Coturnix japonica: one gene and its partners. The protein of the gene in region 4 interacts with the protein of the main gene of each other region in a pairwise test. Links are inferred from orthologs where the notes say so. Each region holds a gene or a part of one and is shown on either strand. Other genes may lie near its edges. The genes, in order: ZNF276, ABI2, CEP70, GCC1 and ATF4.

Evidence for each region.
Region 1: the proteins of GCC1 (region 4) and ZNF276 interact in binary tests that used the Homo sapiens proteins (3 or more experiments, as listed by UniProt). The two-hybrid records come from large-scale screens. The link is inferred for Coturnix japonica from reciprocal best matches to the Homo sapiens genes GCC1 and ZNF276.
Region 2: the proteins of GCC1 (region 4) and ABI2 interact in binary tests that used the Homo sapiens proteins (3 or more experiments, as listed by UniProt). The link is inferred for Coturnix japonica from reciprocal best matches to the Homo sapiens genes GCC1 and ABI2.
Region 3: the proteins of GCC1 (region 4) and CEP70 interact in binary tests that used the Homo sapiens proteins (3 or more experiments, as listed by UniProt). The two-hybrid records come from large-scale screens. The link is inferred for Coturnix japonica from reciprocal best matches to the Homo sapiens genes GCC1 and CEP70.
Region 5: the proteins of GCC1 (region 4) and ATF4 interact in binary tests that used the Homo sapiens proteins (3 or more experiments, as listed by UniProt). The two-hybrid records come from large-scale screens. The link is inferred for Coturnix japonica from reciprocal best matches to the Homo sapiens genes GCC1 and ATF4.

Annotation. Positions count from the first base shown.
Region 1 is NC_029526.1:16,727,971-16,734,120, forward strand, and holds the start of ZNF276 (zinc finger protein 276), read left to right. Parts: upstream 1-2,699; 5' UTR 2,700-2,813; coding exon 2,814-3,009; intron 3,010-3,746; coding exon 3,747-4,056; intron 4,057-4,159; coding exon 4,160-4,212; intron 4,213-4,409; coding exon 4,410-4,901; intron 4,902-5,646; coding exon 5,647-5,725; intron 5,726-6,150. UniProt on the Homo sapiens protein: May be involved in transcriptional regulation.
Region 2 is NC_029522.1:11,988,684-11,994,871, reverse strand, and holds the start of ABI2 (abl interactor 2), read left to right. Parts: upstream 1-2,062; 5' UTR 2,063-2,094; coding exon 2,095-2,211; intron 2,212-6,188. UniProt on the Homo sapiens protein: Regulator of actin cytoskeleton dynamics underlying cell motility and adhesion. Functions as a component of the WAVE complex, which activates actin nucleating machinery Arp2/3 to drive lamellipodia formation.
Region 3 is NC_029522.1:18,781,725-18,787,307, reverse strand, and holds part of CEP70 (centrosomal protein of 70 kDa), read left to right. Parts: intron 1-589; coding exon 590-649; intron 650-1,321; coding exon 1,322-1,421; intron 1,422-1,788; coding exon 1,789-1,877; intron 1,878-2,435; coding exon 2,436-2,510; intron 2,511-3,070; coding exon 3,071-3,170; intron 3,171-3,803; coding exon 3,804-3,974; intron 3,975-4,149; coding exon 4,150-4,296; intron 4,297-4,749; coding exon 4,750-4,918; intron 4,919-5,583.
Region 4 is NC_029516.1:515,448-521,946, reverse strand, and holds the start of GCC1 (GRIP and coiled-coil domain-containing protein 1), read right to left. Parts: upstream 3,713-6,499; 5' UTR 3,520-3,712; coding exon 2,386-3,519; intron 1,190-2,385; coding exon 1-1,189. UniProt on the Homo sapiens protein: Probably involved in maintaining Golgi structure.
Region 5 is NC_029516.1:46,170,106-46,176,353, forward strand, and holds ATF4 (cyclic AMP-dependent transcription factor ATF-4), read right to left. Parts: upstream 4,015-6,248; 5' UTR 3,811-4,014; intron 2,851-3,810; 5' UTR 2,753-2,850; coding exon 2,539-2,752; intron 2,007-2,538; coding exon 1,156-2,006; 3' UTR 1,068-1,155; downstream 1-1,067. UniProt on the Homo sapiens protein: Transcription factor that binds the cAMP response element (CRE) (consensus: 5'-GTGACGT[AC][AG]-3') and displays two biological functions, as regulator of metabolic and redox processes under normal cellular conditions, and as master transcription factor during integrated stress response (ISR).

The DNA of each region.
Region 1 (6,150 bases), on a different chromosome or scaffold from region 4:
GGGGGATGGTGGGGGGGGGCTGTAAGAGCAGCCCCCAGCTCAGCCCTGAGGCTGCAGTACCTGTAGAGAGCCAACAGCGGGGCCCACAGCGGGGGGAAGAAGGCGTCCTCGATGCAGGCCAGGCACTGATCCTTGCCGGCAGCGGTGTTCAACCCCTCAAATGCCAGCAGCGTCAGGGACAGCAGCCTGTCTGGGAATGGAAGAGTTACGCAGCTCACCTGGACGGGTACACTGAGACCACGAGGGCCACGGCCGCCCCTCACCGATGGCGTTGTGGATGTCCCGCACGATGCCCTTCAGCTGCTCCTGCAGCGATGCTGCAGGTTTGGGCCCAGCCGTGGTTTCTCCTGGGGGCCAGTCCTCAGGCGATGCCAGGAACCGTTCCAGGTCCTCAAAGGAGCTCTCCCGGGGAGACCGGGGCTCCCCTTCTGCCCTGGAGGCATCGGAGCTGCCATCGGCCAGGGTTGCTCCGGAGATGCTGTGCCGCAGCGTGGCTGGGCCGTGCTCCGGCACCGAGAACATGCAGTGCAGGCTGCGGGAAGCTCGGAGCCGCCGCCCCCCCGGCTCTGCAGGCAGCAGCCCCCCTGCGTCCAGAGAGAGGAAGGCGAGGCCGATGGGGGCTGCAGGGGCGGCCTCGGGATTGTTCTGGCTGACAGCTGGGTACAGCCGAGTGTACACCGCACACTGCAGCTTGCGCAGGAGCTGGGCAATGGGGTGCTCTGGGAAGCTGGAAGCAGAGGGACAGGGGTGAGCAGGGGACAACGGCAAGTGCTGTGGCCCTCCAGCGATGTGAACAGCCCCCTGTCAGCCCCACAGTACCTGAGGAGGCAGGAGAAGAGCCCCGTCACCAGGGACAGGTCTGACGGGCTCCTCTTCAGCCTGGCTTTCCACTGCCGCGGCCAGTCCTGGGGGAGTGCTCACAGCAGGTTAGTGGGAATAGCCCCTCTCCCTGATTCCCAGCACAGCCCTCTGCATTCACAGCATCCACAGCAGCAGCCTCCAGCGCATACTCACGTGGTCCTGTTCATACTCGAGGATGGCAGCATAGAGCTCTCTCTGTTCCTGCTCCTCAGGGGTTAGGGCCACACTGCTGGAGAACCTCCTGCGAGTGCCACAGTGCCAGGTGAGGGGTCTGCAGGGAGCTCCGCACCCTCACGGTCCCCACTGGGACCCCCCAGCCCCGCCCTCACCTGTTGGCCGCCTCCTGCAGCCGCAGCCGCCGCTCCTCCATTTTCCTCTGCAGCTGGGCCATGGCAGAGTTAAGGCACTGGAAGTGCCGCAGCAGTGAGCCAGCATCTCACCCGGCACAGCCCTGAGGTGGCTGATGAAGTAACAGCCACAAACACAAGTCCCCTGCTTTAGGCACTCCCTTAGTGGAAAGGATACGGTCTCCTCTCGTGCCCTGGCTATCACCAGGTTCTCCATCATCTGCCGCTGTAGAGACAGCGTCTGCCAAGCAATGAACACTACGTGGGTGACACCTGCTCAGAGTCCCAGTGCGAGACTCATTGTACCCAGCTCCCCACTCACCAGTGAGGTTTTCTGCAGGGCCTGGCTGGGGTTGAGCCGTGCCACCCGCGCCTCGTAGGCAGCCTTCAGCTTCTGGTTCTGCAGCGATGCCTCCTCCAGTGGCGTCAGCTCCCTGCAGGGAATGAGCTGAACACTGTGGTGGCCTTCAATGTGAGCCAGGCATCCTGGCCAGCTGGGACCCTTCCAGGCTGAAGAAGAGCTCTGCGATCCACAAACTCACCCCACAACATCCATAACCACCTCTATCTATAAGCCGTGTCCCTAAGCTCCGCACCTACCTGCTGCTTGGGAGAAGAGCCCAACCCTGCCCTGCTTTTCTCCATTGAGTGGAGCACTGTGGTCCCCCTGCCCCTCCTTTCCCCCCTCCCCATAGGATTTGTGCTGTGGTCCATTTGCACTCGCTGTCCCCCAGCCCCACTCACTTGCGCACACTCTGTGCCTCAGCGATCTGCAGCTTCTGGAAGATCTCTGGTGGCAGGAACGGTGACAGCTTCCCTCCCTCGTCAGAGAAAACCCTGCGGTGCCTGGAGATGGGCGCGGGTCCCCCCGCTGTGCTCGGTTTGCCCTTGTTTTTCCCTGTGCGGGATGACACGGCTCCATCAGCCCATTGAAGGCTCCGGTCCCGCTGGTGCTGCCGTTACTCACCCAGCGTGGCCGCCAAGGACTTGACCCTCTCCAGACACTGCTCCGCCAGCTTCAGCATCTTGGGGGTGTCGGGGCCGAGCCCTTCGCTGTGCTCTGCGATATGGGGGGTCACTGCCCTGCGAGGGGCGGGGGGAGGGACCGGGGGGGGGGGTTGTTACCTGTGAGCCCCGCCTCGTCCTGCAGGGCCTGCGAGATGAGGGCGATGCTGTGCAGGTATTGAATATAGGCGTCCTGCGGTGACATCAATGGGGATGATGCGGGGATGGACACGAGACCTGGGTTATGCGGTAGGATAACGGCCCCCCGCCCCGTGCCGTGCTGCTCACCCGCGTCCTCCCCGCGCTGTCCATCTCCAAGGCCCCGCTCGCCGCCCTCATGGCGCCCTGCAGGGCCCGGCCCGGCCCGGCTCCATCCCCAGCACCGCCCGCCGCCGCCATCACGGCCGGAACGGAGAGAGCAGCGACACGGAGTTCCCGGGGGGAACTTAAAAAGCGAAGGGATGAAACCGGAAGTGCGGCCGGAGAGTGTTTCCGGAGGGACTTCAAAACGGAAGGCACGAACCGGAAGTGCAGCGGCGGGTCTTCCGGCCCACAAGAGGGCGCCGTTCGGGCGGGGCGCGGCGGGACCGGGCGGCCGCGATGAAGCGCGATCGGCGCGGGCGGTTCCTGGCGGCAACGGGCGGCACCGGGGCGGCATCACCCGATGGACGGGGGCGGCCAAGGGACAAAGGGGATGAGGAGGAGCGGGAGACCGGGACCGGACCGACCGCGGGGTGGGAACCGGTGGCGGCGGAGGAGTCCGGATGGGCACGGCCCGGCGGGGCGGCGGACGGAGGTGAGAGACGGGACGGGACGGGACGGGCTGCGGGGCAGCGAGAGACCGGGGGGAACCGGGGGGAACCGGGGGGAACGGCGACATGAGCGGCACCGACACGGGGTAACGAGCTGCGGGACGCGGCCTGTGTGTGTGTGTGTGTGTGTGAGTGCGGTCAGTGACGGCTGTAACGGGGCGCTGTTGGAGGCGCTGCGGGCCGTCACGGCGCTGTGAGCAGCCGGGAGTCCCGGTACAGCCAGCACCGGGCAGTGCACGGACACAGCCCGCAGAGCCGAGCTGCCGGTCGGTCTGTGCTATGGGGCAGCGGCTGCTCCATCCCCGGTGTGCAGCTCATCATTGGTGCCGTGTGCGGCTGTGGGAGCGTCACGGTGATGGCAGCACGGGGCTGCGCTGCGGCTGCTGCATGTTCGTACCATAAACAGTGGAGGGGGAATAGGAGCATTTGAGCTGGAGCAGCGTTGGTGGGAGCTGGATGTGTGAGAGCCTTGAGAACAACGGAGCCAGGTCTGGAGCAGCAGCACAGGGCGGGGATGCCATACGGGGATGGTTTGTGGGGTCCCAGCGCTGCTCGGAGTCACGCAGGTCTCGCTCCCGGTCAGTGCTGGTGCTGAAGCCGGGGCTGTGACGGCAGCGTGGGCTCGGATGACAGGACGGGGATGTCGCCTCGCAGTGTCCCATCGCCCTCGGGCTGCAGCTGCTGCGTGCTCCTGCAGCCGCATCCCGTCCTTCTCTCGCAGGGGTCGGCAGAGCGCTGAGCACCGGGTACTGCCGCCTCTGCCACGGCAAGTTCTCATCCAGGAGCCTGCGCAACGCCTTCGGGAAGGTCCCTGTGATGGGGGAGAACTCGGAGAAGCAGCGCCGCGTGGATCAGGTTTTCTTCACGGATTTCCAGCGGCTCGTGGGGGTCGCGGTGCGTCAGGACCCAGCGCTGCCGCAGTTTGTCTGCAAGAAATGCCACGCTCAGTTCTACAAGTGCCGCAGCGTCCTCAGGACCTTCATTCAGAGGGTGAACGCGTCCCCCACCGGCCACGTCAAGTCGAAAGGAAAGTAGGTTGCATCTCTGTGCTCCTGGTGGTCGCTGGGAGGAATGAATGGCCGCGTGTTCAGTATGGTCCCTCTAATGCTACCTGTGCTGTTCTGGCTTTTGCAGGAGCGGTGCGGCCCCGGCCCAGCCTGGTGTGGAAGGAGGTGCCTCCTGTCTGGGTGAGTAGCTGCTCACGGAGCAGCAGGGAAGGGTTGGTTGTCAGGGGTGCTGAGGGCGGTTCTGGCATATGGGGGATGCAAAGAGCAGCCTGTAGGCTGCCTCCCTCACCTGCTGCCGTGTGCCTCAGTGTGGGTGTGCAGAAGGGACGGGTCTGCAGGCTCTGACCCTGTGCCTGCTGCTTCTCCCCTTCCAACAGTCGACCTGATCACCTCCAGCCCGCAGTGCCTGCACAGCCTGGTGACGTGGGCACACGCACACGCCGGGGGCTGCCAGTCGGTGCCGAGCCTGCAGAGCGTGCTGTCCTCTGAGTACTGCGGGATCATCCGTGCGGTCTGGGGCTGCGGGGACGGGCACGACTACGTCATGGACACGGATTCTGACTGTAGCACAGTGCTCGTTGATAATGCCTTGGCTGTCAAACGGGAGTGGAACAAGAGCATGGCGCAGCGCTTGACGGACAACGGGGCGGACAATGCTGAGGCTGTTCCTGCTCCCAAACCCCAGCATGCTCCAGTAAGGACAACTCCTTGTCAGCAGCCCGCAAACAAAGGGACCGCAGCAGTGCCACTGAAGTTGGAGAATGAGCCATCGCAGAACAGGGATTCATCTCATTCTCAGCAGGACAGCACAGCCTCGTTACAGGAGAAAGCCTTGCCCCAGCCCGTGTCACCACTGAGCGGTGCCACAGGTAAGGGATTTCCCTTCTGATCGCACCCCAGGCCTCTGGGTAAGACAGAGATCTGCCCAGGGAGCGCTGCTGGGCCTGGCTGCCCCTCCTTGGGGACTAATAGGGCATTTGACCTGTGGCTCAGAAGTGCTGGTTGCCCAGAGGATCAGCTCTAGTCTTGCAGAGGGAAGGGGGATGTGAAGCTTTGGCTGGCCCAGCTGTCGTGCAGCCAAGCTGGTCTCCTTGCCTCTGCACATTGTTTTCCCTTCTGATGATGGGGTGAGATGTGGCTGTTCAGCTGGCTGTGTCTATCTGGCCCTGCTCGCACCTGGGACACGCACCATTCAGGCTGTACAGAGCGGTCCCATTCTGTCTGTTTGCCAGGTGGTTATTTGGGATCAATCCAAACCCTGGCTATGTGTCAGTCTGGGGGGGGTTTCCCACCCCGCTGTGACTGCAGGGCAATGTGAGCAGCATGAGGCCCAGGAGCCGTTTCTGTCTGCACAGGCAGCCTTGCTCTTGGGCTGCCTTAATACAGGTTTGCTGCTGCGTTCTTCTGTCTTTTAAAATATGGGGCTTAACACTGATTTTGAGTTTCAGAAGCTGGGATCTGTTTAGCTCCGGCAGTCACATGACGATATGTCTGCTGCTGGAAAGAGAACAGGTAGTCGGAACTGACTGGGGAAGGCGTCTGTTGGTTGCAGAGCAGTAGTGACCTTTTCGTTGCTTTTCCTAGTAACGTTCCTTGTTCTCCTTCGTTCCCTAGGACAGTTGAGTGGGAAGCAGGTTCTGTCTACAACGTCGGATGAGCGGGTAAAAGACGAGTTCAGTGACCTTTCTGAGGGGTGAGAGAAGAGTGGGTTTAAAATAGCCTTAATGTCTTCTTTGCGAGTATGAAATGACCGCGGAGAGCTTCTCCATGGTCCTCAGAAGGCCCTGGGAGGTGGCACTGAGGGGCAGGGTGGTTTCTCTGCAGCCACGGTCGTAGCACTCGGCTCCCTCCCACGTGCTGCACACACAGCGTGCGCTGTCTGTTGGTTGCTTCCAGCACAGCTGGCTGTGTTGTGCACTGCCCCATGCTCTGGGATAGCAGCAGCCGTGGCAGGGCGGTGTGGGGCTGTGTGGTTCTGCACACTGGCAGAGCTGCTGCTCCGGGCTGTGTGCTGGTAGAGCTGCTGCTGGTTCCCCTCTGCAGCTGTGAGCATTCAGTGTGGGCTCGCAGGCAGGAGCTGCTGCTCTGAAATCACCCTTTTTGTGCACAGGGAGGAGA
Region 2 (6,188 bases), on a different chromosome or scaffold from region 4:
AATGAGACACGGCCGAGAACAGAAAGACGGAATGTCTGCAGTGTGTCCTGTGCCTCTCCGGAGGTGCTGTGAGGTGATGGATGTCAGTCATGCACTGCCTCTGCCTGTTTCTGAACTAGTGGTGTTAGTGCAAGCACTTCCATGAGATGTGAACTACCCCACAGGTAACTTGTGTCCTGTGTACAGTCGGTATTTTACCCAGCAGCAGTTTATCATGAGCAGAAAGATTATCTGTGGTTACGATCTTGATTGCCCAGCAAATTGGTGAATGCCTGCGGAAGCAGGAGGAGAATGTGCAGCTGCAGAGTGTGTGGGTTCTTCACTGTTTCACAGCAGGGGCTGGCGGCTGAGTGCCCAAGATGCCACAGGATCCTGACAGCGTTTGTTGTGGGCACTGGATGTGTATGAGCCTCATTCTGTAGCAGGCCATCCTGAGATTGTGGCAGAGCCTCGAGTGTTAAATGTGCTGCTGTTCCCTTTGGGTGCTTTGCATTATGAGGCTAGCAAAGGTCTGCATCCAGCCAGAGGCAGATCAACGCTATCTAAACAGACCAGGATGGCACAACTCTGTCTTTGTTGAGGGAGCAAAAGTATATATTTCAGCTACAGATAATTTTTTTTCATTCCCCCATTTTTTCCTCTTTCCCCATTCCTGCAGTAAATGCTACCTGCCAGCTTTAGGGCATGGGCCTGTTTGTATTATGGTCAGTTCACATGCCCATGTTTGCTGTCAAAGTGCTTTGCCCATTGTGCAGACGCAGATCTGCTTGGCTCAATGTGATACAGTGGGGGTTTTGTTTCTGCTGTATACAAAACATGGAATTTGGGTTGTTTTTTGTTTTTTGTTTTTTTTGTGAGGGAAAAAATGTTCAGAAATGAGAATGTCATAAAGCCAGAACAGAGATCCTTACACAAATTAAGTGAAAACCTGCAGCATGGTGTGTCAGAGATCCAACCAGGTCATCTGTCCAAATGGGATCAGGGATTGTGCCGTTCTGTCTTCCATATAGCAAAGAAAACAGAAGAGGCTTTTGATTGCAATGCCTACCCATGGTGCCAAAAACAGTGGCCTCCAAGCTACCCCGTTATTACTTTTCTCTAATTAAGAATTGGTAATTCAGACTGTGGTATGTAGGACACACAGAGTGCCCAGCTACGAGATTGCACGTGACCAAATGATTTGCTTGTCTGGGCGTTTTTGTGCGCAGGGACTCCCTTGGGTAATGGGCAGAGGTAAAAATCTGATGCGTGTGAGGGAACTTGGAGTAAGCGACATGCTTACCTTGCTTGTTCCTAGGGATATTGTTTTCTCAGTATATTTAGGTGGGAAATACATTTGCTTCCCAGTCTTGAAGCTGTTGTACCAAGGGAAGGTACTGCACAAAAGAAAGAAGGAGAAGTTAATGTGTGGAATGCTGTAACTGGGGCTCAGAGAGCATAAGGACTTAAAATTAGTTTAGCACATCGCTTGGCAGATGGGGAGTCGATTATGTAAATGTAGGAAAGTGGTAGTTGGATTCACTTGGTCTAATTTAAACACTGCTTCTAATCATTTTCAGCACGCGTACAGAGAATTATAGGATAACCATCACTCTGCCAGGAGGGCTCTTCATCTTTAAATTTAAATCCATGAAAGAGTCCCCTATTAAAACATAAACATGCTGTGATAACAAGCAGCTAATGATGCAGGCAGGTTAGTCCAGCTGGTCAGCTGCGCACACACATAGTAAAGACGAGGCCTTTTCTCATATGCTCCAAGTCACTGGAAGGGGCCACTGCAGGGTCAGGGGGTCGCTCCGGCTCCTGCTCCAGCTCCGGCTCCATTCATGTCCCGCAGCCCCGTCCCAGCTCCTCCGTGCCGGCAGTGGGCGCACGGGGCCATGATTAGGGCTGCTGGGACATGCGCAGGAGGAGCCGCCGGCCGCGCCCCGCCCCCGGTGCGGTGGGGGTCCGGCGCGCTCCTGCCCGCGGCGCGAGGCCGGGCCTGGCGGCGGGGAGCGGAGAGAGGGAGCGGAGCGGAGGGAGGACGGGAGGGAGGTGCAGGAGGGAGGACGGGCAGACGAGCGGACGGTCGTGGGGTGAGAGGATGTGAAGATGGCGGAGCTGCAGATGCTGCTGGAGGAGGAGATCCCCGGGGGGCGCCGGGCCCTGTTCGACAGCTACACGAACCTGGAGCGGGTGGCCGAGTACTGCGAGACCAACTACATCCAGGTGCGGCGGGGCGGGGCCCGACGGCCGAGCATAGCGGTCGGCCCTGGCGGTCGCCGTCCGCGTGGCGCGGTGCTGAGCGGCGGCAGCGGCGCTTCCTCCCCCGCTCCGCGTTGCGCCGGGCCCGGGCCGCATCGTGCTCCTCGGTGAGGCGGAACAAAAACAGGACGGCAGCATCAGTAACGGCCGCGGGTCGTTCCGCCGTGGTGTCGGTGCTGAGTGCAGTGAGAGGGCTCCCGGAGCTTGTGCCTTCCGTCCCCGAGAGCGCTTGTGTGATGGCAGGGGGAGCGGGCCGTGCCCGGGTGGGCGACACGAGGGGGAAGCATTGGGGGTGCGCTGTGTGGGATGCTGAGCGACCAGCCGACCTCTAGTGGGAAATGTCTGCGGATCTGGGGTCATTTACCGAACAGCGATGCGATTAATAAGGTTTCATACGCTGAATTAGCGTGACTTATGTTCTTTAAGAGAAACGCGCTGAAGTATTTTGTTGTAGTCATAAACTGACATTAATGTTTGTGCTGTTTTAAAAAGAAGGAAATGGGGCTTTTTCTGGAAGAGGAGCTGTGAATGGCAGAACCGGATAGGAAGAGGTGCATTTAGCTTGTTGTTTTGCTCTCCCCACGACCTTTTACTGTTCTCTTCTTGTAAACCAAGGATTATAAAATCTGTATTGAACAGCTCCACTTTTATTGTTTCAGTAAAAATTGCAGAGCAAGATTCTGTGATATTTCATGCAGAGAATGGAAAGAGGGGGGTCTTCCCATAGCTGGCATATAAAGGCAGCCTGAGCCGAGGGCAGCCAGCTGGTGAGGGAAAGCAGGGAGTGAGGCTGGGTTGGTCAGCCCACCGGGTTCTGGCCGCTGTGCAGCACACCGCAGTTGTTGGCAATTTGTCCAAGCATCGCGGCAACACAGGGATGTAAGAGGGAGGTGAGAACAGAAGGCAGAAATTGTGTTGTGGTGCTGACTGTGAGGTGCAGTATGGGATCACTGACTGGAAAAATAAAGATGTGAAACAAGTGGGGAGCGGAGGACCATAGCTAGGTGATGATGGTAGGCTTAGGCTATTGGGGTTGGCAGAGAGACTGCAAGGTGACGTTGCAGAGGAGTCCAACTTGAGGAGATGCTGGATTGAGTGACGTGAGTGTCCTTGTAACAAATCTGATGGAGAACTCACCCTACGTTCTCCGTGCCAGAACTGCATAAACTCTTCATTGGGATAAATACCCAAAGCTATTTTGTTTGTCTTCCTTCTGCAAGGAAGGGAAATGGATACAACTAACATCACTGGGGATTTTGTTTCCAATAATAGTAATTCCAAAAATCAATATACCCAATTCAGTCTAAATTACATATTTTATGCAAGCTTGGATTTGGTGGAGATGTGCACGTTGGGAATGCGTGTGAGAATCATCTTCCAGAAAGTCAGAAAATCTTCCAGAAGATCGACTAGTTCTACTGTAATCTTTTAATGTTCCGTTGCTGACAGAAGGGTTTATCATGGATATTCTTGAGGTCTCCTGACAGGGACTCAGTGTATGACTGAGATCTGAGTTTGATCTACTGAATGATAGGCAGCACAGCAATCAGTGCTTGCAGGAATGACACTGGCATGTATTTGTCAGTAGACAAGCTCAATTGGTGCTGAGAGGTTATTTTATTGTCAGGTACATAAATTGTTGCAAAAAGCAGAGGCGTTGGTCAGTTTTTTAAAGAATTTGAAGTTCAGTGCTATAAGATGAATGTGTTCTATCTCTGCCTCCATTGACAGTTACATAGCAGCTGGAGAATAATGGAACAGTAATCTCTTACATGTTGGGACTGACAGGTCAGAGTCAGAGAGCTGTGGTGTTTGCAACTCATTTGGATTCTACTTATGAAGTGAAAAGCATTCCTTGAATGTTGGTGGTTCATTATACAAATTGTTCTTGATACTTGCAGAGCTCAGTTACTTCAGCAACAGAGAATGTTAAATGAATTGTTAAGGTTCTCTGAAGTCTGTATTATAGCAGCATATCAGAGCACATCAGCTTAAAATTTTGTGACAAGTCACTGGGAAATATTGGAAATATGTAGTAAAATAGAACTGCAGCAATGAAAGATGAAAAGCTACTGCTTGGATATTGCAAGAAGAAACATGTAAAGAACGATTTTCACCTGCATAGTACGACAGTTCAGCTCCTTCTCTGTGATTATTTCACTTTATATAAGAATATTAGTATGTATTTTTGGAAAGTTTTAAGTGTAAGTGCACAAGTAAGACAGTTTGATCAGCTTCTGTTACTGCCAATATCAAATAACTTTGCTTTCCAGGTAGCTCTTCTCAGTACCGTAGAAAACATAGTTACTTCTCTGTTGTACTTCCCGAAGAGGGGGCTAATACAGGCTGTTATTTAGGAGGAGATTTTTGTGGGATTTGATACAATGTTAATCAGAAGTTAAATTGTATACTGTTTCTGCAGGCCTTTGTGTACTAGTGCTGCATTCTGATACCAAGTTCTCAGTCTAAACTGCAACAAAGTAGTTCTATAAAATCTGATTGCTTCATTTACTTGTTACTGTATAAAAACATATTTAGGTCTGCATTGATCTCCATGAAAAGCAAGAGTTACTTAATTGGACAGTGCGCTGTATTTACTAGATTTTCATATTCCAGCATTATTTTTGATCAGGAATGTGATAAAGAAAGTTTCTGGTTATGATGATATAAATGACGAACACCCTTTTGAGCACTGGTGTGACTTGCTTGTTTTATTACTGGTACACCACTGTAAGTTCCAGCGCTGCATTGGCCTTTTCACTTTCTTTAAGCTTGTTCTGAACAAGTCTGTCTGGGGCTCATCTCTAACTTGCTTCCAAACAATTGGAACTTTTAAAAACGAAATCATTTTTTTACTTAATGCATTGCATATAGAACTTTCAAGAGTAATTGAATGCTTGTGTCTGAACTCACTGTTTTGAAAGAGTCAGAAAGAATTCCTAGATAGACATTTTCAGCCACTGGATATCTAGCAGGACCAGACTCAGGGTGGGGGCAAGGCCAGAGAGCAATGCAGCATGCAGAGCTGGGTGAAAAGCCACGGCCCTGTGCCCTGTCCAGCCTCCAGAAGGTGAGTGTGCTGTGTTTGCCAGATTCTTCAAGCAGGATCTGGATTTCTTAGTCTTTCTAGACTATTATGCTTTGTTGTGTGGAGAGGAAGAGCGAACTTCCCATTTCCATCACTTTGCAGCCTTCAGGTTGCTATGGGTATTGAGTCTCATACATAGAAATAAGCTTCCCATATTTCTAAGGGAAAGGCAGGGAAGAATATATATATTTTTTCCTTTTCTGAAAGTATTCCATCCTTCTAGGTACTAGAAGTACCTGCTTTCAGACCCTGCAATAGCTTTTTTTAAATAAACATAATGGTGAGAATTACCTGTTTCTCAGTAATTTTATTATAGCCCATGGGTTGATCAGTTTCTTAGTTGCTTTCCGCATGCCTGTTAATTTTACTTTGTCCTGTTAAGCCAAACCAAGTCATTGTACTTCTGACAGCATCTTCCAATGAGGTGAAGAAGAGAGTGGAACATCCATTGGCATAGAAATTGCAATTTCTGTAATTATGACAGCTTGAGTCCTACAACAGGAAACTTCTGCTTCTGCGAACTGTCAATTTCTTATATACTTATTTAAATTCCAGAATTATTTTTGCTCTCTTGAGATGCATATCACCTTAACAAAATGTAACTATGCTGAAAGTATTAAAAATATAACAGAGGAGCGCTGTTGGTGTCTCAGATTTGAATTCTCTTAAATGAAATAATGAGGCAGTGGTTAGGCACATACTGTACCTTCCTGAGTTGCAGAAACTTCTACAGCACCTCCCTCTGCTAAAGGCGAATGGAGCACTTGCTGGTAGGTTGGCGAGTTTTGTGGGGTAATCAAAGCATGGGATCAATCCTCTGAGTTTTCTTCTGAGAGTCCGAGTAGCTGGTACT
Region 3 (5,583 bases), on a different chromosome or scaffold from region 4:
GGTCTGCCTAGGATGTTTACCTAGGAGAAATTTTAGAGGGATTGTGTGCCTCTCTCTGTTTCTTATGCCCTCATTAAACAACAAAAAAAGAAGCTCTGAGATTCGTTCCCTGACATTTCTCACCTGTACATACAAAACAGAAAATCTCAGAGTGGTTCAAAAGGAAATGCTGTTTCTCACCTATACGTTTTTCTATGGCTTTATTTCCTTGCAGCCATTTCCTTAGAAAGCACTTGTAGTTTCTCTGGAAGTTCTTAGGCTGTGTGTGACCTGTTCTGTTATATCACCTCCAATGGTCCGTGCAGCCCTACAGCTTAAGACTGTGACAGCTTGTTAAGCTTGCTGGGTGAACATAGCCATGAGATGTAAGGGCTGTCAGGAGGATTTAGCTTTTGTCTCCTCTTGAGTCATTTTGCCACTTGTAATCTAATAGGCATTTAATGTCTCTATATTTCTTTTTTTGGAAAACTGCGACTGATATAAGGGAGAAACAGTCACTTTTAAAATACAGTGTAGCTGTGTAAGCTATCCTGTTCCAATAGATTGGTAACTATATCTTAAGTTCAAAATACCATTTTTCCTTTTTCAGGTTTCTTTGTCTAATCGATTATTATGAATCTCAAATTAATCAAATGAAAAAGGAGCTACGGTGAGTCTCATCTAATGCCTTGTGGTCCTACTGCTAAAAGTTTTCTTTCTCCTTGTTGTTCTTAAAGCTTGGAATGGCAAATGTTCTATTTTCTAGATGTCACTAAAACATAAGAAACAGCCAAACACTGTAATAGTCTTGGAAGTTTGGATTAATCCTGGAAATTTCTCTCAGTCTGAGCAGCTGCGCAGTCAGGCCATACAGCCAGGAGGGCATTGTATTTAGACACATGAGCTATAATCCTTTGTTTGTTTTTCGGCTTTCCCTTTTGTAGAGGTTTACAGGCAGCACTACTGCATTAGCTATGCACAATTCACCCGTTTCCTAAAAAGAAAGAAGGAAAAATAAAAAAGAAATACCAGCTTCTCAGCTCCATCATATTGCTTACATGATACAGAGAAACAAGCAGATACCTGAGAGACATTCCCATAATTTGAGATTATTATCTAGAAAGCTGAAATTGGATTTGCTTGCACTGTAATTTCTCTTGAGGAATAAATGTACTCAATTAGTATATGAAACAGCTTTGCAGAACAATAGAGAAGACCAGTGACAGTATTTCTATTGTGATCGTAGTTTAGTGTATGGAAATTTTGACATGTGTACCTGCAAACTTAGATCTTTGTGCCAATTGAATTGCAATAAGCTGAAACAATTTATTTTCCCTAACAGGCAATATAAAAAAGCTGAAGATCATATACAGAAAGAAGTAAAAAGCAAAGAAAACTTCTTAAATCTGGATGCTACTCCAAATTACAGAGCGCTGCTCACGGTATGGAACTGCTAAGAATAAGCCCATGCGGATCACTGAATGGTAACCCGTGAAGAGCCACACAAAAATGCATGTGTTTGGTTTCTTGTCTGCTTGTTTCTGTCTTCAAAGTTCGTAAACTCTCTGGGCAGCATTCACTGTCTTCATCTTATTATGCAAAGATTGAGTACTTTGCTGTAAAGTTCTCTGCTTCTCCACCTGTGGGCTATACAGCAGGATCTTGATCTTAAAGAGGTCTGTTTCCTCACTTATGCTGTCTTATAATATAAAGCAAATGGGAATCTTTCTTAGCACCTGACATGCTTGAAAGTGTTCAAGCTTGTTGATTACAGAATGAATGAAATTAATAATACAGTGTTTGTTGCAGTCTTTTCAGAATCAGCTTGTTGAAACAAAGGCCAAGAATGAACAACTTTTGCTTGAAAATACAAATCTCAAGAAAGATTTGGAAACAAGGTGAGAAACGTTTTTAAAAGCACATCTCTAGGCTTTGCTTCACAGAGAAGGAAACTGAAAGTGCAGCAACTGTAGAAGCCTAGTGTCAAATCTGCCTTTAAAATCCATTCATAAAATAATTAGCATTTTAATAGGGCAACAACAATCAACCTTTCCTTCCTACACTGCTAATAACAACAGCTCTTAGTGTACGCTGTATTGTCTTGGACAACTGCATTGATATTTACACTTCATTGAGCTAGGGCAGGAACAGTGAATGTGGGCAAAATGGTTCTTTCCACTTTGGTAGCATTACTGCCAAGCCTGACTTCCACTTAAAACCTGCTGGACAGATAGAGAAGCAGGTGGTTTTAGTAAGAAAGCCTGAGCCAGCAAAATTGGTTTGGGTGCTATACTATATCTATTTTACAGTTATTGCCACATGTAATTTGTTGTAGAATTTCATTTCCAGTATGAAGTTATGGCACTAGTAAAGCTTTCTTACTTTTTCACCTGGCTGAATTTTATAGCCGACTTTCAATGCAAGATAGATAATGTGGTATGTTTTCTTTCCAACAGACCAACTGAACAGGAATTAAAACTTTACAAGCACCGAGTGAAGAAACTAGAGAAAACTTTAAAGAAAACTATCCAGTAACTATTTTTCTTCAGTAACTTTCACGAATCCTCTGAACTACATAAAGGCAAAGATGCTCTGCAACCAATCACATAGATAGCAGCTTACAAAGCACGTACCTTATATCACCACAGTCCCTTGGAGCCTGGGTCATGGGCAGCAAATGCTTCTGCATCTCCAAAGATACCCTGTGAATCTCTGAAGTGGTGGCACAGTGTCCAAATTGGTGCACACCACTGTCTCTTTGTAGTTCCATTTTGCCTTTTGGGATTGGAGTGTTACCACAGGCAGTATAGGCAGGACCGATACTTAAACAGAAGTCTAGTAATGACAAAGCGTCAGCCTGGAATTTCACTTAATTATCTGTGTACACGTGTACTGAATACTATATATTTTTATCATTTTACATTATCTGAAAAAGACACTGCTTTAAAAATGTTCAGTTCTCCATTTTACATTCTATTTCAATGATCTTTTCACTCATGCAGTGGGTATGATTCAGTAGTTTCAGGCTGAAAGCCATCCTACCGTACATATTTGGCCTACTGGTGACCTACTGTATGTATTTGGCATGTAGGTCTTCAGGGAGCAGTACCAGAGAAGGAACAGAAGAAAAGAAAGAACCTGAGAGTACTGCAGAAGATCGGCTGCATGCAGTCTGCCAGCAGTACTTACAGGTATGCCAACTTCATTGGTACCATGCCTATCTAGCACTTTCATAACAAAATACGAGCCTTATTTAATTGCATAAACTGAAGCATGCTCTTTTGAACTCTGGAGGAAAGCCCTGAACACAACGTGTAATGTTCTGGCTATGGCAGTTGATATAGGCTACCTTAATGTAAACTACATGAAGTTACTACAAACCAGAGACTAGCTTGGCAAACCTCCAATCAATGATTTAGCCTGAGTTCTCATCAGGATAGAGAACAAAGATCAATGTCCTGTGGAAGGCATTCCTTTCTGTTATGGTTTTAAGAATTACTGAGAAGATGATAGCTTTTCATTTTTCCTTAAGAAAGAACAAATATAGTAAAGCTTAACAAAATATAAACTGTGTAAGTAACAACATTGTGAGAAGATAAACAAAATATTCCCTCCATGGGAAGTCTACGTGCATTACTTTTACTTTTCTTCTACTTAGTTTCTTTTTATATCTTTGAATCTATGACATGCTGAGTGCCTCTATAAAAGTCATAGATGGTAACTTACCAGAAATAGTTATGATTTAAATGATTGTGACTGGTGGTGAGGGAATTTATAATAAAAAGCTTAGTTTGAGTAATAACTTTTTCTATCTATTATTGAAGGTGCTGTCCAATATCGACTCTATTATACGAAGTCCAAGAGCTCCTCCATTAATATACAGGCGCAGCAAAGGGCCAGTGCAAAATTATATTAAAGAGAATGGACAGGAATGTGGATTTGAGCACCTCCCACTCACTATAGAAATGTGGGCAGACCAGCTGGTGGCCCTAAAGGTAACGCACTCTCACACTTAGCTTTGTATCCCTCTTTTAATCTGTTGAAAACCTCACGGTGCTTCTTTATCCAGTGTTCTTGTGCTTTAGTTTGTATTGTTGTCTGACCTGGTGTTAAATGGACAAGATATTTAAGCAGTTACTACAATGAGCTGTCCCCCCTCTGTTTTAAAAGGATTTGCACAGGTCACTGAGAAAACTGTCTCTGGAATTGGTACCCTGGCACACTGCGGATCCACAAGATAACACAGAATCCATACGGGTTCAAGACCTTCAGTTCATAGTAGATGCAGTTTTAGAAGAAATAGAAAACAAGGAAAAGGTAATTCTTCACACGATTAGACTTCTGCATTTCAAAGCCTTTTGGGGCTTAAGAAATAGCTGTGGGAAGAGGTCCAATTCTCCAAGATTACTTTCACATAATGGATAAATTCACCCCGGGGAAGACTGCTTTAATCAAGGTCATTTGACCAACCATGAATTTGCCTTACCCTGTAGTGCTGGGTATTATCCTGTTCCATCTTTTTCTCAGTCAGCATTCAGAATACCTAAACAGACTTAATAAACATCAGAAAACAAAGCTTCCAAAAGAATATTGTTTTCATAAGAGTATTTTTGGCTTGCTGGATATCTCTCTTGAGATTTAAGAATATTCAAAATGCCTCAATTTAATAAGGGAAGTTACACCTGTTTTAATTTGTGGACTAGTTTTAAGAACATCTCGTGGTTAAAAGAAGCAACAACTTAGTAAAGTTACCCTTTCTGCTTCCTGCAGAACAGCCAGACACCATCCTTACCAACACTGTATGCAATAGTCTCTCACTTCCAGAAGCTGTTTGATGTGAATTCTCTGAATGGCATTTACCCACGAATGAATGAGGTGTACACAAAACTTGGGGAACTGACCAATGCTATGAGAAATCTCCATGAGCTCCTGGAACTAGGTAAAGACTCATCACCTACCACTTGTTCAGGCTATTTCCAAAGGAAAAGCTTTGTTTTATGAGCACTTACTTACTAATTCTCCTTTATCAATTGAAACATAAGGTTTTTTGTTTGTTTTAAATTGTTTTGGAATAACAAACTTTGCTCTAGATTTCTTCTCAGTAACTCATTCCAGGGTAAGCATGTTCAGTCCTTAAGAACACCCCTTTACAATCCTAAATGTTTACTTGTTCTTTTAAGTATTGAATGTCAAGAACTAAGTGCCACCAGTAGTCACTTCCAGGTGCCTATTCATTCTCTTCTGGTTTTGCACTTCTGAAGAACAGCAGCTGCTAATCTTCCCTGAGTTCATGGGTTTAGAGGCTTGGCTGTGCTGCAGGGTGTACAGCCAGAGGGCAAGGCTCCTAAACTACTGAAGCCTTCTGAAGTCTCATTCAAAGAGGGAAGCAGACTTCCTGCCTGCCACCACCAACAGGAAATGAAGAAGCTTCTCATCCCCTTGTAATTACAAAGCAATGGAGTTCAGTGGACACCTTCTCACAATTAGTTCATCTGAAACTGAGTGAGGAAAGGAAAAGAACCTGGTATTTTTACCTTTCATCATAGTAGCCAAAGCAGGTTAAAACAAGCAAACAGAGCAAGTTCTTGCTACTAACAAAATATC
Region 4 (6,499 bases):
GGGAATCCGGCAGCGTCAGGAACTTATACACGATGTTCTTGAGGTACTCCAGGTTGGCTCCTTCTCTGCTCTTATCTCTGACGTTCTTCTGGATCTCGTTCTGAAGTGCTGACACCTCCTCCCGGTGCCTCTCCTCCTCCACCAGGACCCTCTCCTGGAGCTGATGAACCTGCATTTCCAGCTTGTGCTTCTGTTTCCTCAGCGCTACGATCTCCACCTCCTTGCGGGCCAGCTGCTCTGCATACAGGATGAAGGTGGGCTCCGCGTTGCTGGAGAGGTGGAGAGCCTGGGGCAGGATCTCTGTGGAGCCATTAGCCGAGGGGTCATGGCTCGCAGTGTCAGTCCCTGCTGTCATGTAGTTCTTGGAGCCCTGCAGCCCGGTGTAAGGCAACATGACGGATCTCAGCTGCTCCAGTTCTTGGTCCTTCTCAGCCAGCACCGCCAGCGCCCGGTCCCGCTGTTTGTGCATCTCCTCCTCCAGCTTTAGTGCCCGTTCCCTGTATTCCAGCTGACAGCGCTCCAGCTCCTGCCTGTGCAGCTGCTGCAGCTGGCAGAACTCTTGCCTCTTGGCTTCCATGTCCAGCTGGTGCTGCTTCTCCACCTCCTCGGAGGACAGCTGAAGCACCACGTATTTCTCCTTCAGGTCCGCCAGTTGCTCCTGAGCTTCCTCCAGTTCTTTGGCCAGGTTGCCATCTTTGGCTGACTTGTTCTTGAGAACCACTTGTGCCCTCATCTTGTACCTTTCAAACTCTTCCTTCAGCTGCTTCAGCTCCTGCTGATAGTACAGAGCCGTGGCCTTCTCACCATCCCCGGCCTCGGTACCTTTTGGCAGCTCCAGCTCACACAGCTTCTCGATGTCCAGCGTGGGCTGACTCTTCTTTGCTGCCACCTGCAGCAGCTTCTTCAGCTTCTCCATCTTATCCTTGAGAACGTTCACATCCAGATTGGCTTCTTCCACGTTCACATCAGCAGGGGATCGGCTGGAGGCTGCGATGGCCAAGGTTTTGTTCTCCTGGTCCAGCTGCACGATGCGATCCTTCAGTTTCTGGATGACCATTTGGTCCTTCTGTTTGGCCTTCTCGTAGGTGCCCAGCAGCCCTGACACCTCAGAGACCTGCCCCTCCAGGTCGGCCACGCGCTGCTCCTCCATCTGGGCGTGCTGCCGGAGCTGCTCCTCTGCTTGTGCAGTCTGTAAGCAAAGAAATGCAGCGGTGTTAGACCACCCTGCAATTACACAGGCCTTCATTCTGCTCTGAACAACTCCAAGCAAGCACAGGGACACCCTTTCCCTAGTTTCCAAACAATCCTCCCCCACCCCACACTCTCACACGCCCATCTTTAAAACAGAGACTCAAGGATGAAACAAACCGAGTGCGTTTCTGTATTTGTTCCCTGCTGTTAGCAGCATTAATGTGCATTGCTGGAGGCATGTGCAGGGCATGAAGCACAAAGCTCACCTCACTGTGGGATTTTTTCATGTCTGAGTGTGCCCTAAAGCTTTCCTACACCTAACTGTACCTAAATGCTAAGCTTTGTTACACCAATATTAACGTAATTCAGTGGGCTCTGAGTAGCTACAGCAAACACTGGAGCTCACAGCTTCTATCACCATCGAGATCTGACCTCCTAAAGAGCACGTGGAAGGTGGCACCACTCCTCAGTCCCCACTGTGAGCCAAAACACAGCTGGGATCAGCCCATCCTCAGCCCTGTCGTACAGAAGCTGCTGGGTATCACTTCCAAAACAAGGTTAATCGCATCCCATCAGCCCGAAGCTGATAATTAGAGGCTTCAGATTAGAAAGCTGAAAACTTATTCCAGACTGTGGGGAAATGAGGATCCCATGCTGGTGTCCTTCCAGCTGCCAACTCAGCAGCAAAGCCCTCCATCCCTCTGCCCCACAGCCTGCAGAGACACACAGCAAGATGCACAGCCCAGCACCTCGCTCAGCAGGCCGCCCTTATCGCCCACCTGCCTCACCGCTCACCTATTACAGTTCCATGCAGGGGGATGTGGAGGTCAGTTCCCTTTAAGAGAGTCCGAACCGAACCTTGCATTGCATTTATGATGAGAGCACGCTCATTGCCACTGCTCTCCTCCCAAATCCAGCTGCTGCTCGGAACCAAGCGATGCTCACCACGTAACTCCCACAAAGACTGCTCCTAAACCACCCGTGGTTAACTGATTTATACACTGCATTGCCAACAGCTTTAATTTTCCTCAGGGTATATGATCCCATCAGATGAAACTATGGTATTTTCTCCTATCTGAAATCTTTCGGACTTTGTGGCATGTGGCACAGGGAGAATTTGGGCTCCTCAAGCCTCCATCTGCTGCTCTGGTACCCCCTACATTGGGCTGCTCTAGGGCTCAAGCAGGGAATTACCTTCCTCATCTCCTGCAGCAGCTGCGCTTGGAAGTGGCTCTTCAGGTTGGCCATCTCCTCCTGCAGGTCTTGCACCCGGGGGTCCGGCTTCTTCCTCTCCTCCTGAACAGCCTGCAGTTCTCTCTTCAGCTCCTCCACCTCCTGGCTCAGCTGCTTGATCTGCAGCTCGTAGCCCTCAGCACGATCAGCCATGCACACCCGGCCGGCCAATGCCTCCCTGGTCTCCTCCAGCTTCAGCTCAGCGTCCTGCCTCAACGCCCTCTCGCTCTGCAGCAGCTTCTGCAGCTCCCTCAGCATAACAGCGTGGTCGCTCTGCTCCTGGGCTCGGTCGTGCTGCTGCGTGATCAGTCGAGCTTTGGTCTCTGCCAGCTGCTCCTGTACAACCCTCAGCTCCGTCTCCAACCTGTCAGTCTCATCCTCCGCCTTTTTAATGGCGTCATCCAGGTCCTGCTTCATCTTCTTCTTGTCGGCTTGATATGACGCTTCCATGCGGGACTTCTCCTGCGTCACCGTGGACAGGGCGCTGGTCAATGTGGCCAATTGGCTCTTCAGCTGCAGCACCCGCTTATCGGCCTCAATGGCAGCACAGGGCACGTCCCCATTGCTGTTACTGGTACCAGTACCGACCTCGGAACCATTCCCCTCATCTGATTTAACAGCTGCTGCGTGTTTCTCATCCTCAGGTCCCTGCTCGCCCTTCGTGCTGCCCAAACTGGTTGTTGTGTCCACGCTGGCGGCCGTTCCCATGCTGTCCTCGCTGTGAACTGAGCTCTTATCATCCATGGGATCAACATGGGGAGAGCTGGAAGGAGGGGAAGAGCCGGAGGGGAGGGAAGAGCTGGAGGGGAAAGAAGAGTTGGAGGGAAGGGAAGAGCTGGAGGCAAAGGAAGAGCTGGAGGGGGCCACAAATGGAGCCTGAGCCCCATTTAACCCAATGTCGGCCTCGTGGGACGCCGATAACACCTTCAGGCTGGCCTCCAAGGCCTCCTTCTCGTTGATGAGGCTCTTGTAGGCGATGACCACGTCCTTCAGCCTGGCCTGGTAATTCAGGAGCTGCTTCTTCTGCGACTCGATGGTTTCCAGCAGTTCTTTTTTACTCGGGCCTCCTCCGAAGTTCATACCGAATTTCTCCATGGTTCCGGGATGGGGGTGGGCCTGGGGGCGGGTAGGTCGCAGGGCTCAGGCCTTACCTCCGGACCGGGCCGGGCCACAGCAGGCCGCGGCCTCCAGGCCCAACCAACGAGTCGGTACCGGCAGCCAGAGCGCCGCCGCACACCTACTTCCGGCCTGCTTAACTTCCGCCCTCCCACCTACTTCCGCCTCGTTTAACTTCCGCCCCTACTACTTCCGCCCTCCCACCTACTTCCGCCTTGTTTAACTTCCGCCCTCCCACCCACTTCCGCCCTGCACGTTAAGCCCCGCCCACTGGAGGTGACGCACCCCACGCTGCGCATGCGCAAAGTGAAGGGTTTGGGGCGAGGAGCGGCCACCAATCAGGTGTCAGAACGGAGCAGAGGGGGCGGGGCTAATAGGATTGGGGGCGTGGCCTTGTAGTCTGGGGGCGGGGCTTAATGAGGGGGCGGGGCATCGTTGTATGAATGAGGATGAGGATGGGGTGAGGGGGGGGATGGGATGGGGATGGGATGGAGGGGAGGATGGGATGAGGATGGGGGTGAGGATGAAGATGGGATGAGGATGGGATGAGGATGGGGATAGGGATGAAGATGAGAATGGGGTAGGGATGAGGATGAGGATGGGATGGGGATGAGGATGAAGATGGAATGATAAGAATGAAGAGGAAGAGGAAGATGGGATGAAGATGGGGTAAGGATGGGGATGGGATGAAGATGAGGATGAAGGGGAGGATGGGATGAGGATGGGATGGGTGAGGATGAAAATGAAGATGGGATGGGATGGAGATGAAGATAAAGATTAAGGGGAGGATGGGATGAGGATGAAGATGGGATGAGGATGGGATAGGGATGATGATGAGGATGGGATGGGATGGAGATGAAGGTGGGATGGGGATGAAGATGAGGATGGGATGATAATAAGGATGAAGATGAAGATGGGATGGGGGTGGAGATAAAGATGAAGAGGAAGATGGGATGAGGATGGGGATGGAGATGGGGTAAGGATGGAGATGGGAGGAAGGTAAGGATGAAGGGCATGAAAAGGGGAGGATGGGATGAGGATGTGATGGGTGAGGATGATGAAGATGGGATAGGGATGGGATGAGGATGGGAATGAAGGTGGGATAGGGATGAGGATGAGGATGGGATGGGATGGGGATGAAGATAAGGATTAAGGGGAGGATGGGATGAGGATGTGGGTGAGGATGAAGATGAAGATGGGATGGGGATGAGGATGGGATGATAATAAGAATGAGATGAGATGGGAATGGGGATGAGGAATGAGATGGAATGGAATAAGAATGAAGATGAAGAGGAAGATGGGATGAGGATGGGGATGGGAATGAAGATAAGGATGATGGGGAGGATGGGATGAGGATGTGGGTGAGGATGAAGATGGGATGGGGATGAAGATGAGATGGGAATGAGAATGAAGGTGGGATGATAATAAGAATGAAGATGAAGATGGGATGGGAATGGGATGAAGATGAGGATGAGGTGGAGATGGGGATGGGGATGGAGATGTAGGTGGGATGGGGGTGTGAATGAATATAGGATGGGGATGAGGATGGGATGGAGATCAGCGTGAGGATGAGTGTGCAATGGAAATGGGGTTGGGATGGGGGTGGGGATGAGGATGGGATGTAGATGAAGATAAGGATGAAGGGGAGGATGGGATGAGGATGTGGGTGAGGATGAAAGATGGGATGGGGAGGGATGAGGATGGATGGGATGGAGATGAAGGTGGGATGGGGATGAAGATGAGGATGGGATGCATAATAGGATGAAAAATGAAGATGGAATGGGGTGGAGATAAAGAGAAAGAGGAAGATGGATGAGGAGTGGGATGGAGATGGGGTAAGGATGGAGATGGGAGGAAGGTAAGGATGAAGGGGAGGATGGGATGAGGATGTGATGGGTGAGGATTGGGATAGGGATGGGATGAGGATGGGATGGGGATGAAGGTGGGATAGGGATGAGAATGAAGATGGAATGATAATAAGAATGAAAATGAAGATGAGGATGGAATGGGGGTGAAGATAAAGAGGAAGATGGGATAAGGATGGGGATGAGATGGAGGTGGGGTTGGAGGTGGGAATGAGAGTGAGAATTGAATGACGAGAATGAAGATGAAGATGGGATGGGGTTGAGTAGATGAGGATGAGGAGGTAGATGGGATGAGGATGTGGTTGAAAACGGGTTGGGGATGAGAATGAAGGTGGGATGAAGATGAGAATGAGGGATGAAAATGAGGTGAGAACGGTGTTGAAGACGACGATGAAGATGGGATGAAGATGTGGGTAAAGATGAGGATGGGATGAAGATGAAGATGAGCTCGAAGATGAATGGGGACAGGAATGGGGACAGTTCATGGAGCGGTGCTGGTGAGGTCCTAAAGGGACACCCCCCACCCCTTAAAGGGACGCCCCCATCCCAAGGGAGACACCCCTATACCCTAAAGGGACACCCCCATCCTATAGGGACACCCCCCACCCCAAAGGGACACCCCCCTCATCCTAAAAAGTGGGGCTGGACGCTGCTGGCAAAACCACCATCCTGTACAAGCTGAAGCTGGGGGAGATCGTCACCACCATCCCCACCATTGGTCAGTAGGGCCCCTCTCCATGGGCACCCACAGCCATTGGTCACCAGCATTGGGATGGCAGCGATGCATTGGGTAGAGCATTACTGTGCTGGGATGTGGCTGGGTGCTGGTGCCCCTAAGGGGGATGGAGATGTGGGGGGACATAATGGGGGTTGGATGTGGGGCTCCTGGGCTGCTCCCTATTTACAGGCCCACTCTATTAGGGTTGGATGTGGGGCTCTTGGGCTGCCCCCTATTTACAGGCCCACTCTGTTAGGGTTGGATGTGGGATGGCAGGGCTCTGAGCAGCTGATCTGGCTGTAGATGGTGCTTTTCATTGACCTTAAAGGTCTCTTCCAACCCAACCCATTCTGTGATCCTACAAACGTCCCCTTCC
Region 5 (6,248 bases), about 46 Mb from region 4:
CCTTGCTGCTGTTCTGGACTTTCCGCCAGGGCTCTTTGGAAGCATTTGCCATCATTTCATACTCCAGCACTGCAAATGGAGGTTATTTTTGCCCCTTTGGTTATTCACAGGGGTAAGCGGTGGAGTCCTCAGCAGCAGCGTTTTCCTCTTCTCGTTTGCAAAGAGAAGTAAGAGCACCTGGGTCTCTCTAAATGCATGAGAAAGAGGAAGGTAGCTATTAATACTGAGTTTTTATAGGGCGCAGACTGGGAAAATTCCACTGTTTCCAAATATACAGGAAAACTGGCTTCCTCTGGGGGCTCTATTTTGTGCACCAAAATCTATTTCTGGGAATGGTGTCACCATGCACGTAAACCATAGGGATTGTTGGACCACATTTGTTCTGAGCCTGTGAGAAAAGGAAGAGGCTCCTGCAGCCTGCCAATGTGAGATCAGCCAGGAGGCTCTCTAATGCTCAGATGCTTTCTCCCATCTCTTAATCCAATGCTCTTATAAATGCTAAGTGAACATGCAGAGGAAGAGCCAGCCCTAATCTCCAGCCAGTGCAAAGTCTTAACTAAGTTACTAAGTATGGAAACAGCATCATTGCAAGGGGCACCAGCATAAGATCAGCTTGTTGGCTGCCCCTGAAAGGCTGCAGACACACCAGCTCCATGTGGATGCTTGTGCAGTATGATTGGACAAGTCAGTGCAAGAGAGAAGGAATTAACACCCTGGGGAACTGCTTGAAGCCATCAGCTTGTCAAAACCCAGTAACTCCCACAAGAGACTTCTCCAAACCATATTTATAAACATACTTACATGGCTCCTTGTAAGGCTGAACCTTTATGATTTTGCTTTTGCTATTCAAGATCTGGGACTATCTCCACTTGATCCCCTCCATTTTACTAGATATCTGCAAGTATTCTCAGCTACACATGAGCTGTAACATGTACTGTATCACTTGAACCACATTAACAGTAAATGCTATTTGCACACTTGGGTGGAGCAGCACATTCCAGCTGGTTGAAGCCCCAAACGACATGGTATAAACCCTTATTTTACAGATACTCAGTTACCACACAAAATTGCAAGTTTACTATAAAATAATTTATTAGACACCACACAGCTTAAGCAGCAAGCATATATACATGCACACAAACACTACTGACTACCCTACTCAGGGACTCTAGCTCTTTTGACTTTGGCCTTCCTCACCTCTTCAATCAGATCTTTCAAGTACTGGATTTCCTTACTCAGGGAATCTGCTTTCTCTTTCAGGGCCTGATTTTTCTGTTCCAAATCTCTGCACTCCCCTGACAGAGCCTCCTGTTCTGCCCTCTTCTTTTGCCGGTAACGTGTGGCAGCAGTCTTATTTTGCTCCATCTTTTTCAATTTCTTATCTATTTTCTTTTCTCCTTTCACCTTTGCTGACACTACCTTCTCAGCAGGGTGGTCATATGGTTTAGAACGCAGAGAGCCACGGGTGGCATCTGCAGGGAACTGGTTGTCATTAGGGGATCCAAGTGAATTGGTAGGACTGTGCTGGGGCGTTCCCAAATAAGAGTCTGGGCTCATGCATATTCCACTATCATCAGAATGGTTCTCCTCCTCTTTCTCTGACTTCGTGATCACTACCAGAAAGGTGGGGGCCTCCTGTTTCCTTTCACCTTCCAGAACATCCACTTCACTACCTAGTTCTAAACTAAATGAATGGTCTGGAACAGAAGTCAGAGACCCTGGGGAGAGGGGAAAAGGCCACAGGGAGCCTAATGGGGCCATGGGATCTACTCCAATTGGAGATTCGGGGAGATTGGTGATTAGATCAGGTATGAGTGGAGGTTCTTTGTTGTGAAATTCCTGGGTGGTAGGGTTAAACAGGAGATCACACGTGTCTTCCAACGTGGCCATCAGGTCGTCTGGTGAGACGGTGGCTTCCAGATGTTCCATACCTAACAGGGCATCAAAATCAAATTCCTTCAGATCCATCTTCTCCACCATCCACTCCATGCCAGAGAAGGCATCCTCTAAACAAGGAGAAAAACAGTATATTTTTCGATGAGCCAACACAGAGATTCTATACCAGTTATACCAGAAATAGTTATATCTTCCCCCATTCTTTTTAATGGTAAAAAGATCGACTACCAGACCCCTTCCCCCTACTATGAACTGGGGAAGTCTGCATGATACTATGTATCTGTCAGCTGCTGACATTCCATCCCTCTTAGTCTTAGCTCTCTAAGAATTCAGGCCTATTTGAAACACACCACCACACTTGTTTCTTGTGACCTCTTCCAGGGAAGGCTACTCTTAATAGTTGGCATGTTATTAAAAGGGCAATGCAAGTGTCATTTTTCCACAGGCTGGTCGACTACAGAGCCATTTGCTATTGTGTATAATCAGTGTTGTATGGATGCTTCCCAGGCCAGAAGACACATACGTGATGTTACCTTTCCATTTAGAGAACTCGTGCAATTTATCTTTGAACAGGAGGATTACATTATTTATTATGTGCCATCACCTTTGGTGTTACTTCCTGCACATGAATTAGTGCCTTACCCTGGCTGCTATCTATGGTGTTGCCTAAACTGTCCACAGTGAGCCAATTGGAGGAGACTGCCTTAGCCTTGTCGCTGGAGAACCCATGCGAACCGAGGGGCTCGGCCACCTCCAGGTAGTCATCGAGGAGTCCCAGACCTTCCTCAGCCACCAAACACGGCTGGCTGAGGGGGGAGGACTCCCCCAACAGCATCTCGTTGTTCAAGAGGCTCATCTTGGTCAGGTTTTAGCGCTTTGACGTCAAAGGATGTAGACAAGGAGAGGGCCTTTTTGTTGACTACAGCAGTGCTGCTGTGCGGTGCCTTGAAAAACCTGTAAGACAAACATTTTTCGCATGCATCAGTGCTTGTTCTACTGGAAAAACAGCCTTCACAACAAAACGCAGCCTCAGGGAGAGTGCTGTTGCACCAGACTTGTACGACTGCAGCATTTTCAGGGCTGTTTGCCTCAAACTCTTGCTTTTTATTTGTTTGCTTTCATAAAAGCTTTTCTATTCGCATCTCCATTGCCCAGCACGGCATTGCCAGCCCCACGCCCCGCCGAGGCCCCGCCCACCGCGCCCTGACTCACGTCACGCCCACGCCGCAGCCATTTCGCGATCTGCCGCCTACCGCTCCCCACCCGGCCCCGCCGCCATTTTGTGCCGTGACACGTTTTCACCCCGTGTCGATGGGAACGCCATCAACGTGGAGGGGTGGGGGGGAGGGGAAGGTGACAGGACGATAGAACGACAGAGCACCTTTTGGTGCTAGGCTGACTTATGGACCAGGTGGATTCGGATGATAAATACCACGACAGCCTTACACCCTTCTATCAGGCTGGGTTCGACACCATTCCCCCCCCCTCCCCCCACAACCCTCCTCCTCCCCCGGCCAGCAGCGCCGTAGCATTAAGGGATTATCTTAATGCCCGCTCGTTGGAAGCCCCGTTTAACTCCTCCATCCGCTGTGGGAACGCCTCTATAAAGACAATCCCCTATACTACTAAGACAACCGTCTAGGGAGCTAATATTCTCACAAAAGCCTTACAAAATAGAACAGCCCTGAGCTTTCAGGATGTGGGCTTCTCTAAAATACAGGGTATTATGGCTCATTTTTCCTCTTAAAAGTGTCATTTCCTGCCATTTCCGTCACCCTCAAGTAGGTTTCCAGCCCCCACCCTATTAACCAGACAGCTTTTCCTATGGGGCGTCCGTTTCGCACCCCAGAACCCCGCTTTATGAAGCAGGGGGTGGCTGTCACACAAGGCGCACTCCCCACACGCGCTACTCACGCCATGGTTGCAGATGCCGGGGATGTGCCGAGGCCGCCGCCGCTGCTGCTGCGCCCGCTGCACTGGCCGATGCCGCCGCTGGCCCTGCCGCCCTTAGAGAGCCATGGCGGCTGGGGGGGGGGTTGGTTGGTGCTCCGGTCAGCGCCGCGCGGAGAGGTGCTACGCACGGTCACAGTTACAACCTGTCAGCTCAGCCAAGGGCACACAATGAGGTGGCAGCGCGCGCGCTCCGCTTTTATATACCTTCACGCTAATCAAAACGAGATCCGGCCTGATGTGTCCTTCCGCTCTTCGTCACCCGCCTCTCGTCAGCACCCTTCAGCCTGTAGACCTTCAACTTTCTGGGCCGCTCTCGTTCCATCCTGCTAAAGATTAACCAAAAAAGCTGTCAGCAATAACTTTTCCCTCCATCGTGGGCTCCTAGACAGAGGGACTATATGGTGTTCCTCCGCGCAAACACCGCCCAGCCGAGATGGGAGGCCACGTGATACAGCAGCTGAGGACACTCCTCCCGCCCGCCGCGGAGCGCAGGGGGATGTGGGGGGGCTGCTGCTCCTGCCCGCCAACACAGCCAGTGAGCTCTGCGCGCCGATTGGCTGGTGGCGTGGTAACCGTGTGAGCGCTGAGCCGCCATTGGCTGACGCCCGAAAAGGGAGAGATGGTGAGAGGCACGGAGAACGAGGAGCCGTAAAATGGCGGTGGCGCTGGTTCTATTCTCTGCTTCACATTTCCGTGGCGTGTTCTCTTTGAAGCACCACGCCTCCTTTGTTACTGACAGCTCTTTATGCCCTCCACACGAAGTCCTGTCCGCTCTCCCTGTGCGTTCTTAACAGCCCCTCCAGACGACGTCCAGCAGAGTTGAGGGCAGAACTTTGCTGAGGAGAGTCACTGCTCCCTCAGATAAGTGGAAAACTCCCTGCCTGCTACTTGCCCCACAGAGATAGGGCTGTGTGTTTGTGTCCCTGACACCCTGCTAGCTTTGTAGCTGAGCTGTAACATTGGCCTGGGGTGGTTTGTGAGGAGATGCAAGAGCAGCCATTACTCAATGGAGGAGAGCATTAGTGGGTCATCTACACAGCCTCACGGCCCTAGTAAACAGCCTCACCTTGGGAAGGTTTTCAAGCAGGTTTGCATTATGTTTTATCTGAACTAAATCAGCCAAATGAGAAGGCAGCCCTGCTCCATCACGTCTGGCCCTGTATGTTTATAGCAGCTCCTCTGGTCCTCACCTAGCCCTGTATGAAACCCATGGGGAACAGATGTTTTCAGTCCCCTCGTGATTCTCTGAGGACACTAAAGCACCATATGCAGCTCTGAGTGAGGAAGGTGAGCTGGGAAGGTTGCTACCCATGTTTTCTTTCACTACCTGGCCTTTGGTTGCTTTCCCACATTACCAGCCCTACAACACACCATCAGCTCTGAAGATTAATTATAGAATGACTTAGGTTGGAAGGATCATCAAGCTCCAACCCCCCTCCATGGATCCTTGCTTGCTCAAAACATTATCACCCTGTCAATAAACTCCTCTTGGCTCCACTGCAAAAGGCTCCCTTGTTTTCCATTTAGGGCTTGTTAGTATTTGTGTACAGCCATGGCCTTGGCTCAGTTTGCACAAGTATACCTGCCTGGAACTCATTAAACAGCTCCACTGATAATCCCAGAGGATGGGCATGGCCAGGGAGGACAGTCATGGCCAGGTTTCTACTTTTAGCAGCAGGATGTCACCATCACTGCAACAAATTGGGGTATGTATGTCATTCCAGCTCTGTAAACTGAACATTGGCTGCTGAAAGTAAAAATACAGCTTTTCCAATGTGCTGTGGTGTTTTGTGGCTTTTTTGTTTCTCTGTGGGTGTGTGAATGTGTTTGTTTTATTTTTGCTTTTCTAGAATCAAGCATCGATTTTTAATGGCTCACTAAGATGGAAGAGGCAGCAGAGAAAAATGCCCTCCAATATCAGAAAACACGATAGCAACTGAGTGATCTCAGATGACTCCTCTGATACGTGCACCAATGAGCAGGCAGATCTTGCTTCAAAGCAAAATTCAGAGGATGGATGCAGCAGCTACTGAAGAAGCCTGGTGGGTGATTGGCTTGGGTGGATGAGAGGCAGCATCTCTGTGTCTTGGCTGGTCGAGGGAGGGCTCTCACATCCCCCACATCCAACTGCAAAGAAAAAAGGTGTTTGTACCACTGTAACTGTAGCAAAATAAACAGAAATGCTTCTCTTGAAATGGTAATTACATATTTTTGAAGAAAGGACTCTGGGTATGTGTGAGTAAGAATTATGCAAGCAAAAATGATGCATGTCATGAGGAACTTAACCCAGATCTGCCTGTTTCCTAGCTGCCTGCTTCCCTTTTTATTTTGCAAATGTGCACATTTGTCTACATTTTGAGCACCAAACAGTTTTGGGTTTTGTTTTGGTTTTTTTTCAT